Daphnia pulex: one gene and its partners. Each later gene encodes a partner of the first gene's protein in a complex. Links are inferred from orthologs where the notes say so. Each region holds a gene or a part of one and is shown on either strand. Other genes may lie near its edges.

Region 1 (3,758 bases):
GTAATTGACGTAATTGTGTTATAAGTTGGTCCAATTGGTTGCTATGCTTAACTGAACACTCTTTTACATTGGCAGCCTGCGCTGTGTTGCTGAGTGCCATTCGCGCCGCTTTGTACGGCTCCCATACTTCAATTAAGTTGAAAATTAATCCCATATAAACACTGGTAACCTAGAAAAGAACCATACAATTACAACATATTGGAGTCGTTGGTATCCGGAAGAGATTAATAATAATCTTAATTACCCAATTATCTGGAAAGAATTTGTCAACTATTTCTCTCATTTTTGCTGTTTGATTGTGGAGAATATCAGGAGTGAAATAAAGACAAATCACGAGCATGGCTGCTTGTTGAGCAAGTGCAGTGCTTCGGTGATCAGGATGCGGATGGGTTGCAATTTGGTGATAGATATCATCTGATCTCAAATGACCTATTACTACATCCAAATAAATTGGAGCAATCGGAATACGTCTAAGAACAACCACATATAGGCATTACTTAAAATGAATCAAAAATAATAGAATTCATTCTACTTGAAATAGTCTTCTGGGTAATGTTGAGGCCTTTTTCCTGGCTGAGATTTCAAAAATCCAGTTGAACGCAATAGCTGGCATACTTCATCCAACTTGGAATTAGAATGAGTTCTTTGAACAGAATATCTGTAATAAGAGACTAGCATTCTCTCCCTAACAGGCCCATCAACATGATTATCTATGACTAGTAGCATGATGCCATATAGATAAAGTGCCTCACACTGCAGAGGAAAAAAAGGTTAGTTTAAAAAGGTGAAGCATATATAAAAAATTCATTTTTATAACCAACCATGAGCTGTTTGCCTTCATCATTTAAAATAATTGTTTCAAGAGTTTGTTGGATATAAATCCCTTCATCAAGTTCATAAAGAAAGGTGTTCAAATCACAGACATACTTGTGAACACTTTCAAATGCAAGATAGAATCTTGTTAGGATTTCAATATAATTCTTTCGTAACTCCTCATCCAATTCCACTAAAACCTAGAGTAAGATGTGAATTTTTAATGGAGAAAAAATCTGAATTGATAACTCACTTACATCGCTTCCATTAATCTTTGAATCAAAGACATCTTGTTCTTTAAAATATCGAAAATCCAATACAATTTCATGATATTTATTTTGATCGGACCTTACAATGAAAACAATAATAATAATAAAATAATATAACTGGATTTATAGATTTTAAGTGACTATTACTGAAAAATCTGTGGAATAAAATCCTTTAGACGTAATAGTTCAGCAATTATTGCATGAGCTCTTGAAACCAATCTCAAAAGGGTCTGTCCACACAGATTATTTTCTGCTAAAAAATCTTCAGCCATGATTAATTAAACTTGACTGTCGAGCCGGGCGTATCCATAGAATAATAAATTTAGGCTAAATCTGGCTAAATTCTAAATTTATAATCTCGTCTGTTTACGTTGATCACTTGTCAAAACTTGTGAAAAATAAAGGCACAGGCCTGACAACATGCGCTAAATCTTTTTTCGTTTATAGATGTCTCTGCTTTAACAACCATTCCAATTTTTTCCGGTAAATAGCTAAAACGTGACGGCTAAAAGGGAAATAAACATAAATAATTATTTCATAAAACAAAATACAATAATTTTATACAAAATTGTGCGGCGTACGGAAGAAACGGAGATTTTTTCCCCTCAGGATTATAGAGTCAATTTAGTCCTTGGTTCCACATTCAGTTTCGTGTGATTTTTTAAGGCTCAGGTGTCGCACAGAACACTCACGTCACGGGGTTTGCACGTCTCAATTACCAGCAATCAATATCAATGACAAACATGGAAAAACTTTTATTTACACTTTCCCTGAAAAAAAACCATAACCTTGAATTTTGAGAATTCAACTTGAAACATTTCTCCGTTGGTTAGTTATTAGTTAACACGCTAAAACCCGCACCCCCCGCACGACTACGTCTGCCTAACCTTTTTAAAATTTCAGTTGACTAATTCGATAAAGTAAACACATTTATTTTTTAAATAATGCACTCCATTTGCTAAATGTCTACTCCAGTTAATGGCTTCCCTATTAATCAACTGGTAGCTACTAAAACTCGTCGTATAAACTTTAAAGCCGCCATGACCAAACAAGGTCCTTGGGTATACGCCTTCGGGTTATTGTGGCTATTGGGATAACTATGTATTCGTTTTTTGTCATCCCCCCCCCCCCCAAGATGGCAGTACAATAGCTGGAAATAATGGCAAATGTTGAGGTGAAAGAGGTGGCAGTAAAATCGGGGCAATATATAAACCATAATCGTTCATTTTGTAATGATGGGTGTGGTCGCTAGGGGAACCATATGTATAGGGTAGTGAGGGAATGGTATCGTTAAATTCGTTATGTGCAATCTTTATGCATGGCTGTGTTCTTAATAGAGTTTTTTATATCGGTGCATCATGTCGCACATTGCAGGTCCGTCGCCCAAAAAATTTAGGTCGTCTTTGGCGACTTCATTGAATGTTCCTGTGTCCAGCAATAACCAAATTTCCCATACAGCGATTAAAGATCTGTCTTTAGAGAAACAATCGTAAGCACAACCGTGATGTATTTTCTATGTATATTTTTAAATAATCATTTGCGATTTAACGTAACCGTATGTCTGCGCTACAAAGGTCTAAAAATGTTTAGTGGATGTCATGTGATTTCTTATCGGCTTCCCATTGGTTTAAACGTTGTGTGAACGGTTTCCCATTGGTTCGGTAGTTTAGTCATGTTTAGGGAACAGTTGGCGTTCACACTTTGCGCTTTTCGGCATTATTTTCTTTATCAGCTGAATCTGCGTGAAAAACTACAAGGAAAGATGTAGTTTACATCGTGATTAGTTTAACATTTAAATTAGATATTTGTAATGTCAGAAACGCCACAGTCCTGGTATTGTGAGCAGCGTTCGTCATTTGTTTTATGTTTTGATTGTCATTTCTAAGGGATTCATTTATGTAGTTTACATGAAATTACAGGGAATAATATAGTTGAGTTTCGTTAGGCACTTCTAACGATTTCTTTTTATCGAAATAATTGTTTGAGCCCCAAAACACGGCTATTTTTTAAATGAATAATTAGGAGGTTGTCATTTTATTTCAAATTTAACGAATTATTTTGACGTGGATCGCAACACGTCGGGACCATCAAATCACAAATGTTGTTACTCGCCAGCAAATACTTTGTTTCCATGATCATGGAAAATGGAAAAACAATGGAAAAAATCTCGTAGGCGGCATGCATCAAATGGCCATTTTTATATTTCTATTATTATTATTTATTTGTCAAAAGAGTGTCCATCAAGTGTCTCATTTATTAGAAAATGGAGTATTTCACTGATGATGTTTGGTTTACGGCACTTTAGCCAAACACCAGACACTTGATTGATAGGAGATTGATAGGAGAATAGGAAAAATGCAAGAGACACGTTGATCAAAGAGATATGCAAATTACGCGAACTGTTCTTAAAATATAGATGAAGTCCACAAGGGAAACTGAAAAGAGCTGTTAGCAGTAAACAATATCTAGCGATAGCGGTGGGTTCCATTATTCGTCGGATTTTGACCAAAACATTTAATGTGCACCAGAAGTTGGCAACATAATCTTCAAAAATTCCGCGGTTGAAAGGAAAGACTCTGGAGAGAACTTGTTGCAAAAGCCCATTATGAAATTGTAAAAATAGATACCAAATAATGGTAAAAGTGGCCAATGTTACAATCCCAATACTTATCAAAT
Region 2 (3,758 bases), on another chromosome or scaffold:
GATACAAGAAATCCGTTAACAGTATAGACACACACACACTGAATCCTCTCAATCACTCGGGAAGAAATCAATCAATCAGTGAGCCACCATAACACACACACATAGAACTGGCCGGCCACTAAACTAACAAAATATAAACAAAGCCGTACAAGTGTTACGATTTTCTGTTTGGGGGATAAATTGACTGTGAAAGTTTTGAAAAGTTGAAAAGAACTGGTGGTGGTGCTGCAAGTAGCTGGTGGTGATACTCGGCCGATGGCCAGAACGGGAATAAATACTTTGGGCCACCCAGTCCGGCTACATATACTTAGGTGGACCAAGAGGGTTGGGTGATGTCTGTGTGTGGGTGGAGCGAAATAAAATAAAGACGGGCGCCCAGGATATATAGATTCACAAGTTACAATTAATAATTTTTGGGTACTGGGGCGGAATCGTGAGAAAATTCTTCGATTTCGCACCTCATCCGCTATGTCCGATCCGTCGAGACCCTTGGCATATCTCAGGTGGGTTGTTTAAATCGAGCCGCTGTATATCTATGCTACTGCTGCTGGACCTGTCCGGTGTGGGTGACCTTGCGCGTTCACTTTTTTCTCACCATTTGCCCAGTAGTACGGTTGTCCAGGAAAGAATGTGGCACCCACCCAGACATTTCGGGGTGGTGCGAATAATTCACCCCACCGTCTAACTCCTCTCGTAATTCCCACTGGGGTTGTATAAAACAAGATCAACCCGGCGTCATTAGTTTTCATCATATTGGATTGGGGTGAGGGGGAGAGATTAATCCACCACCCCCAATCGATTGCTGGGCCCAGGTTCCCCGTAATCTATTTTCTCACGATGTTTTAGACCGTGGGAAACCATTTCGCCAGAAACACATCAAAATGTTTTTCGATTGACCATTTATAGTTGTTACGTCACAGTTATTCTTTGTTATCTCAATACCCTTGTTACACTAATGTTACATCATCGAAAGATGTAAATTAACCAATTTGGAAAAATTGGAACTGTTTCGATTTAATCCCATCTGGCAACTTTGTGATCTAGCAGACGACTTTGGTATTCCGAGAATTTGAAGATTCAGATTATTTTTTTGTGTTTCCAGAGCTTGTTTACGTGTTATTATAGTCACGGGCGTTTTTTAAATGATTTAATTGATTTTTATTGAAATATCGTGTTGCTTTGATTTTGAAAATGGTAGGGATGAATGGGAACTCGACAGTTTCCAACCACGAGTATGGGAGATATGCCGCAGAAAGTGAGTTGGTTTCTTTTTTAGTTGTGGTAATCAGTTTCACTAATCTTTTGCCCTTTTTTTAATGTAGAGGTGGCCAAAGAATATGTTGCAAGAGAATATAGCGAGTTCATGGTCAAGTGTGGCTCGGATCTGGAAGCTGTGTGTCAAATTCACGAAAATTTGAGCAAGGAAAATGTCAGTCAGACAGTCAGTCTGGATTTAGTTCCCAGCGAAGACATCTCCCTAGTCGACCTTGTCCACTCTGATCACGAAGAGCTGAGAAAAGTCGTCCTGGCTTTGGGGCATTTAGTCAGCGAGATGGACTTTCTGGTTGAAGAGGGGAGGTCCTTCTATTACCCTCTCCTCTATTACGGTGAGGGTGTGGACGAGAAAGCTCTGCAGTCTGGAGAGGGCCATGCATGTGCCGGTAGAATGGTCGAAACATTGCAAAAGTTGTTGAGCTACGTCAACTATTGCTACAAAGTGATCAAAAACATGGTGGGCCAGCTTTCAAGATTGTACTGCAGCTCAGACGCTGGACCAAAATACTTTGAGATTGGCGAAACCCATTTCAAAATCATTTTCGAAAGAATGGGATGTGTGCTGGTATTTTAATTCTCAACTTTTCTCTCAAAAATATCCCGAAACTAACACACACTCTTTGCTTTTCAGTCAATCCTTGTGAATTTGGATTCCATCATTAACCGAAACAACTTGCTGAGGGAACATGTTGCTCAGCTGCAGCATGTAGTTCGATCCATTCAACACAACGCCTCCAATTTCGACACGACGCCGGAAGATTTGCGGCTGCTGGACTTGTCGCTCGACGAAATCACCGAGAAAACTCTTTCGGGCACGCTCTTCCTCCGATGCATGAACCAGAGTTTCCCCACCAGCAACAACAAAGTCTTGCTGGACGAGATTTCAGCCAACGTCAAGGGCTTCCTCGAAGAATTATCGTTCCGTCTGGACAAGGAAGGCGAGCGGGACAATTACGAGAACATGCAAAAGTTCCTCAGCATCGTCTGCCTGTTTGTCCTGCACGCTCACATTGGCCTGAAAGTGGACAACCGCCAGCTCAAGACCATCCTGGATGTCGCCAAAAATTCCATCATGGCCGTCCCTCTGGTCGGGTCGTGTCTGTGGTTCCCTGACCAATTCTTGTCGCTCTATCTACCCCGTGGAGACCGGGCCGTCGATAGCAAAATGCTGGAAAGTGTCGGCTCTGCCCGGTTCCAGTACGTCCGCCAGCGTTCCCAGCAGCTGGCCAAAGACCTTCAAATGTGGAACACGAAAATCGTCCTCTGGCTGTCGAGGCTGAGCGGCCAGCACGTCAACAGTCAAGAAGAATTGACCAATCAGTGCTGTTTGGTCCTGCAGGGACTTCGCTACGTGGCCAAACTGAGCGGCGTCGTCCGTCTGATATTGAACCTCCACTTGGCCATCCAGCCAGTCATTTCCAAAGGCACAGTCATGGCCGCCTTTCAGACGTTTGAGCTCATCAAGACCTTGCAAAAGGCCATCGAGAAACAGCTGACGGATTACCCTCAAGCCTGGATGCACCTGCAACAGCAGCTCCGTCGTTCCGTCTCCGACGTAGTCCAGTTGGCCGCCAAGCGATTAGCCGGCGAGAAGAGCAGCAAGAAACGTCCCCGGAAGACGGTCAGCGCGGCTCTGGCGTTGGCCCAGCGAGTCCTGAAAGGTCCCTGCACATCATCCCGTGTTTCGACGGCCAGGATTTCGCTGGCCATAGCCTGCACCGCCTTCCAGGACGAAGAATTGTCCTTGCTGGCCCATCGCCTCCAGAAGATGGAGCTGCTTTCCGTTGGCATACGCCACCGCTTGAGTTACCTGGCCGATTGCGAAGTCTTTTACTGGCACAAATCTCTCCTCAACACTTACCTGCCGGAAGCCCGTGAAAGACGCTTCGAATCGTCCCGGATTGGACAGACTCTGATGGCCGTCATGGACTGTGAATCGGCTCTGGCCAGCGTCAAGCATCTGGCCAATCCTCGACAGCTGGTGGAAGGCCATCAGAAATTCATCCGCCGAGCCCTGGACGTCCATATTTTGGAGCCCCTGTGCGCCTCGGTCGAGACGGAATTACGGATCCAGTCGCACGCCCATCTCCACCCGACGCCCCGCAACCCGTTCAAAGAGTCGCCTTGTTTGAGCGCCCTGGGCGACTTGCCCCTGGGCCGGCACGAGCAGCTGAGCGTTCCCCACCGGGTGGAACACTATCTCGGCCAGACGTTCTACAATCTGGCCGCTTTGGCCTCTCACGATTGGCGCAAGTACGGCCAGATGAGACTCTTGGCCGGATTGGCTTTCAACCTGAAGCCGCTGCCCGACCGGCTGCCCAGCCAGACCCTGGAGCAAGGGCTCGACGTCCTGGAAATCATGCGCAACATTCACCTGTTTGTGGCCCGTTTCGGCTACAATCTCAACAACCAGTTCTTTGTCGAGCAGTCGAGCACCAGCAAACACTTGAGCACGATCGGCATCAAACACGCGGCCAATTCCA
Region 3 (2,708 bases), on another chromosome or scaffold:
CCGAGGTGTACAGCTGGGCGACGAGCTTGTTTTAAAATTAAACTCGCCGGGTCCGTGTTATCTAAAAATACACCACCCCTTTTTAGTTGCATTTCATTTTATTGACTCGACTGGGAGAGGATGAAAAAAAAAATAAAAATTTAAAAAAACCAACCCAACCGACGATTTGCAGCACTAACACGATATTAGAGGCCTGTTTGTGTCATTGTCAAATCAATATGCGGGGGGGGCTTTGATACGTCGAAACTGCTGGATCTGCCGAGTGGTGGGGTTGGCTGTCGGGATCCTCGTGTGGGCTGTCCGGAGAGATCATCTCTCCCGTCTAACGCACAACTGGAAGCTTTTCTCAAGGACGTACGAGTCTTGGCAATCGGCCTGAGTGCTGGGCCCGTGACTCTTTTTCTTGACATGCATTATTCAAGAGTGTTGTTGTTGTTGTTGTGGTATATTGTCTATACGTGGGGCCAAACATATAAATCATCACGCGTTCGGACTCTCTCATCAAGGCTCTCCGGTTACAACCGTCGATCGAGAATTGATTATGTCTATGTATGATCGGAATCCTTTCTCCATGCATCAAGTATACAGGCACGATAAGACTGAAATTTCATAAGTCTCGGGGAAAATGATTAATTGTTATTTGTGTTAATAGTCGTCGCTGTTTGATTCTTCGTCGTCGTCGGAGCTCGAATGGGTTGATCGCGGTGCTGGTGGGGCCTTGGTGACGTCAACTTTGCCGCTGTTGAGCAGCGATGGATCGTAACCTTCTGCTCGCATTTTCTGCTCGACGGCCATTAACGGAACCCCAAAGGCAAGCATTTTGACGAACCGAAGGATTTCGGGATTCGGAGGCGCCACCGCCGTCTGGTGGACGCTAGAAACATCTTCAGGAAAGACTGGTGGAACGGCGGATGGAAGGATCTGAACGCTTGCAGCCACTGGTACAGATTCTGAGCTGGTGGCAGGCACTGTAGGTGGGATGGCCGGTATTGAAGTAGTTTCCAGTGCAGGAACTGAAGCCAACTGTTTTCAAAAGAAAAAAGAATCAGCCATTCATTGTCTATAAATGATAAACATACCCCAAAGTGATACACTTGAGTGAGTTGGCTCGACATGTATTGTTAAATAACTGAGTAGGTATGGTCTTGCTTAATCTAAATTTGTTTCTCATGAAAATTTAATTTCATACCAATTTTCCCTATTTATGCATCTTTAAAGAAGAGCTGGTGGAATTGAAATGTTTAAATGAAGGAATTTACCTTTGCTTCGAGAATGGCTAATGTGGCTTCAACATCTTGTAGTCGAAAGTTGAGATCCAGCAATTTGGTATCACATATAATTGCAAATTTGTTTAGTAACTGAACTGAATTGGAAACAAACTGGTTGAAATAGCTCAAAATTCTTTTAGTTTCGATGGGCGGAACCTGTCAAACATTAAAATGTGTTACTGCCATCATCCAATTTAAACGAAAATGAAAAATACAAACGAACCGAAGAGAACTCGACAGTAGGACCGAAAAAAGGTAGTCCTTTATTTTCCATCCCTTAGTATTTCTTCCTTGATTAGAACGACGTGGAATATACGAATTATTAAATCACATCCATGGGATAAATGTCGCGTTTGATTGTTTTGTTTTTCTTCTAGCAGACGACACAGAATCCATCCCCTTCAGGCGCAGCGGTCGAATTATTTGAGGAACAAGGCAACTCTGTTGTTCACTTGCAATCCGGAGGAGAGAATTCTGTCTCATTTCCACTTCGTTCGCCTGTTCGTCCGAAAATGGTATAGTCTCGTCGATTTAATATCTCGCAACATCCTTTGATATTTAACCATCTTATATGTTTATATAGCATCTCTTTTTGCAGTAGAATTCGATGATGTTTATTAGCATTCTGTGTCAATTGGTAGACTTTTCGTTTGACTGGTATAAAATCTGTTTTGTCACTCTGTCTGTCATATGGATACCTTGACTAGACATGTTATTTTGACTGTTAATACTAGCATTACTTAAAAGTTTAAGGTGTAAATTTCTCTTTGTAGTTGTAAGTATGTGGTTGTTAAGTATGTTGTGCATTTAAACTGTCATAATTTGTTGTCGAAAACACCGGCTCATGACTTGTTGATCTCGTTTTAGGTGAACGTACCAAAGAGTCGTCGCACCTACTGCAAAAAATGCAAGACCCACAAGGTCCACAAAGTGACGCAGTACAAGAAATCCAAGGAGCGTAGTGCTGCCCAGGGTCGTCGTCGTTACGACAGAAAACAAAAGGGTTATGGTGGTCAAACCAAACCTATTTTCAGGAAGAAGGTATGAAGACTTAAAGATTGGTTCACTTGAATTGTGTACTAATGCTTCTCATTGTTGAATTACGCAGGCCAAGACCACTAAAAAGATTGTCCTGAGGATGGAGTGCTCAGAATGCAAAGTCCGCAAGCAGATCCCCCTCAAGCGTTGCAAGCACTTTGAACTTGGAGGTGACAAGAAGAGGAAGGGACAGATGATTCAGTTCTAGACTGTTTGTCATCACCTTGTGCTGGCCAATACAACATCTTTGGCGCCTATAGTCTGTTATTAGTCTTCATTACTTTCCTTAATCCCTATGATAATGTAGGGAAATGGCTCCATGCGAGACATTTGGGTATTTATTGATTTCAAATATTTGCTAGGTGAAAAATCAACCAATTGATTCCAAGTATTCATGTGAGA

Evidence for each region.
Region 2: WASH complex subunit 5-like (region 1) and WASH complex subunit 4-like share a complex: the UniProt entries of both Homo sapiens proteins name them as parts of the WASH core complex. The link is inferred for Daphnia pulex from reciprocal best matches to the Homo sapiens genes WASHC5 and WASHC4.
Region 3: WASH complex subunit 5-like (region 1) and WASH complex subunit 3-like share a complex: the UniProt entries of both Homo sapiens proteins name them as parts of the WASH core complex. The link is inferred for Daphnia pulex from reciprocal best matches to the Homo sapiens genes WASHC5 and WASHC3.

The regions. Positions count from the first base shown.
Region 1 is NC_060017.1:7,246,433-7,250,190, reverse strand, and holds the start of WASH complex subunit 5-like, read right to left. Parts: upstream 2,145-3,758; 5' UTR 1,664-2,144; exon of another isoform or gene 1,647-1,663; intron 1,588-1,646; 5' UTR 1,355-1,587; coding exon 1,230-1,354; intron 1,162-1,229; coding exon 1,071-1,161; intron 1,014-1,070; coding exon 822-1,013; intron 754-821; coding exon 533-753; intron 471-532; coding exon 245-470; intron 170-244; coding exon 1-169. UniProt on the Homo sapiens protein: Acts as a component of the WASH core complex that functions as a nucleation-promoting factor (NPF) at the surface of endosomes, where it recruits and activates the Arp2/3 complex to induce actin polymerization, playing a key role in the fission of tubules that serve as transport intermediates during endosome sorting.
Region 2 is NC_060026.1:1,374,401-1,378,158, reverse strand, and holds the start of WASH complex subunit 4-like, read left to right. Parts: upstream 1-1,016; 5' UTR 1,017-1,191; coding exon 1,192-1,255; intron 1,256-1,322; coding exon 1,323-1,840; intron 1,841-1,906; coding exon 1,907-3,758. UniProt on the Homo sapiens protein: Acts as a component of the WASH core complex that functions as a nucleation-promoting factor (NPF) at the surface of endosomes, where it recruits and activates the Arp2/3 complex to induce actin polymerization, playing a key role in the fission of tubules that serve as transport intermediates during endosome sorting.
Region 3 is NC_060025.1:880,067-882,774, reverse strand, and holds WASH complex subunit 3-like, read right to left. Parts: upstream 1,653-2,708; 5' UTR 1,543-1,652; coding exon 1,492-1,542; exon of another isoform or gene 1,425-1,491; coding exon 1,260-1,424; exon of another isoform or gene 1,219-1,259; intron 1,138-1,218; exon of another isoform or gene 1,024-1,137; coding exon 646-1,023; 3' UTR 531-645; downstream 1-530. Other genes in the region: 60S ribosomal protein L44, read left to right, coding at 1,781-1,783, 2,136-2,309, 2,377-2,514. UniProt on the Homo sapiens protein: Acts as a component of the WASH core complex that functions as a nucleation-promoting factor (NPF) at the surface of endosomes, where it recruits and activates the Arp2/3 complex to induce actin polymerization, playing a key role in the fission of tubules that serve as transport intermediates during endosome sorting.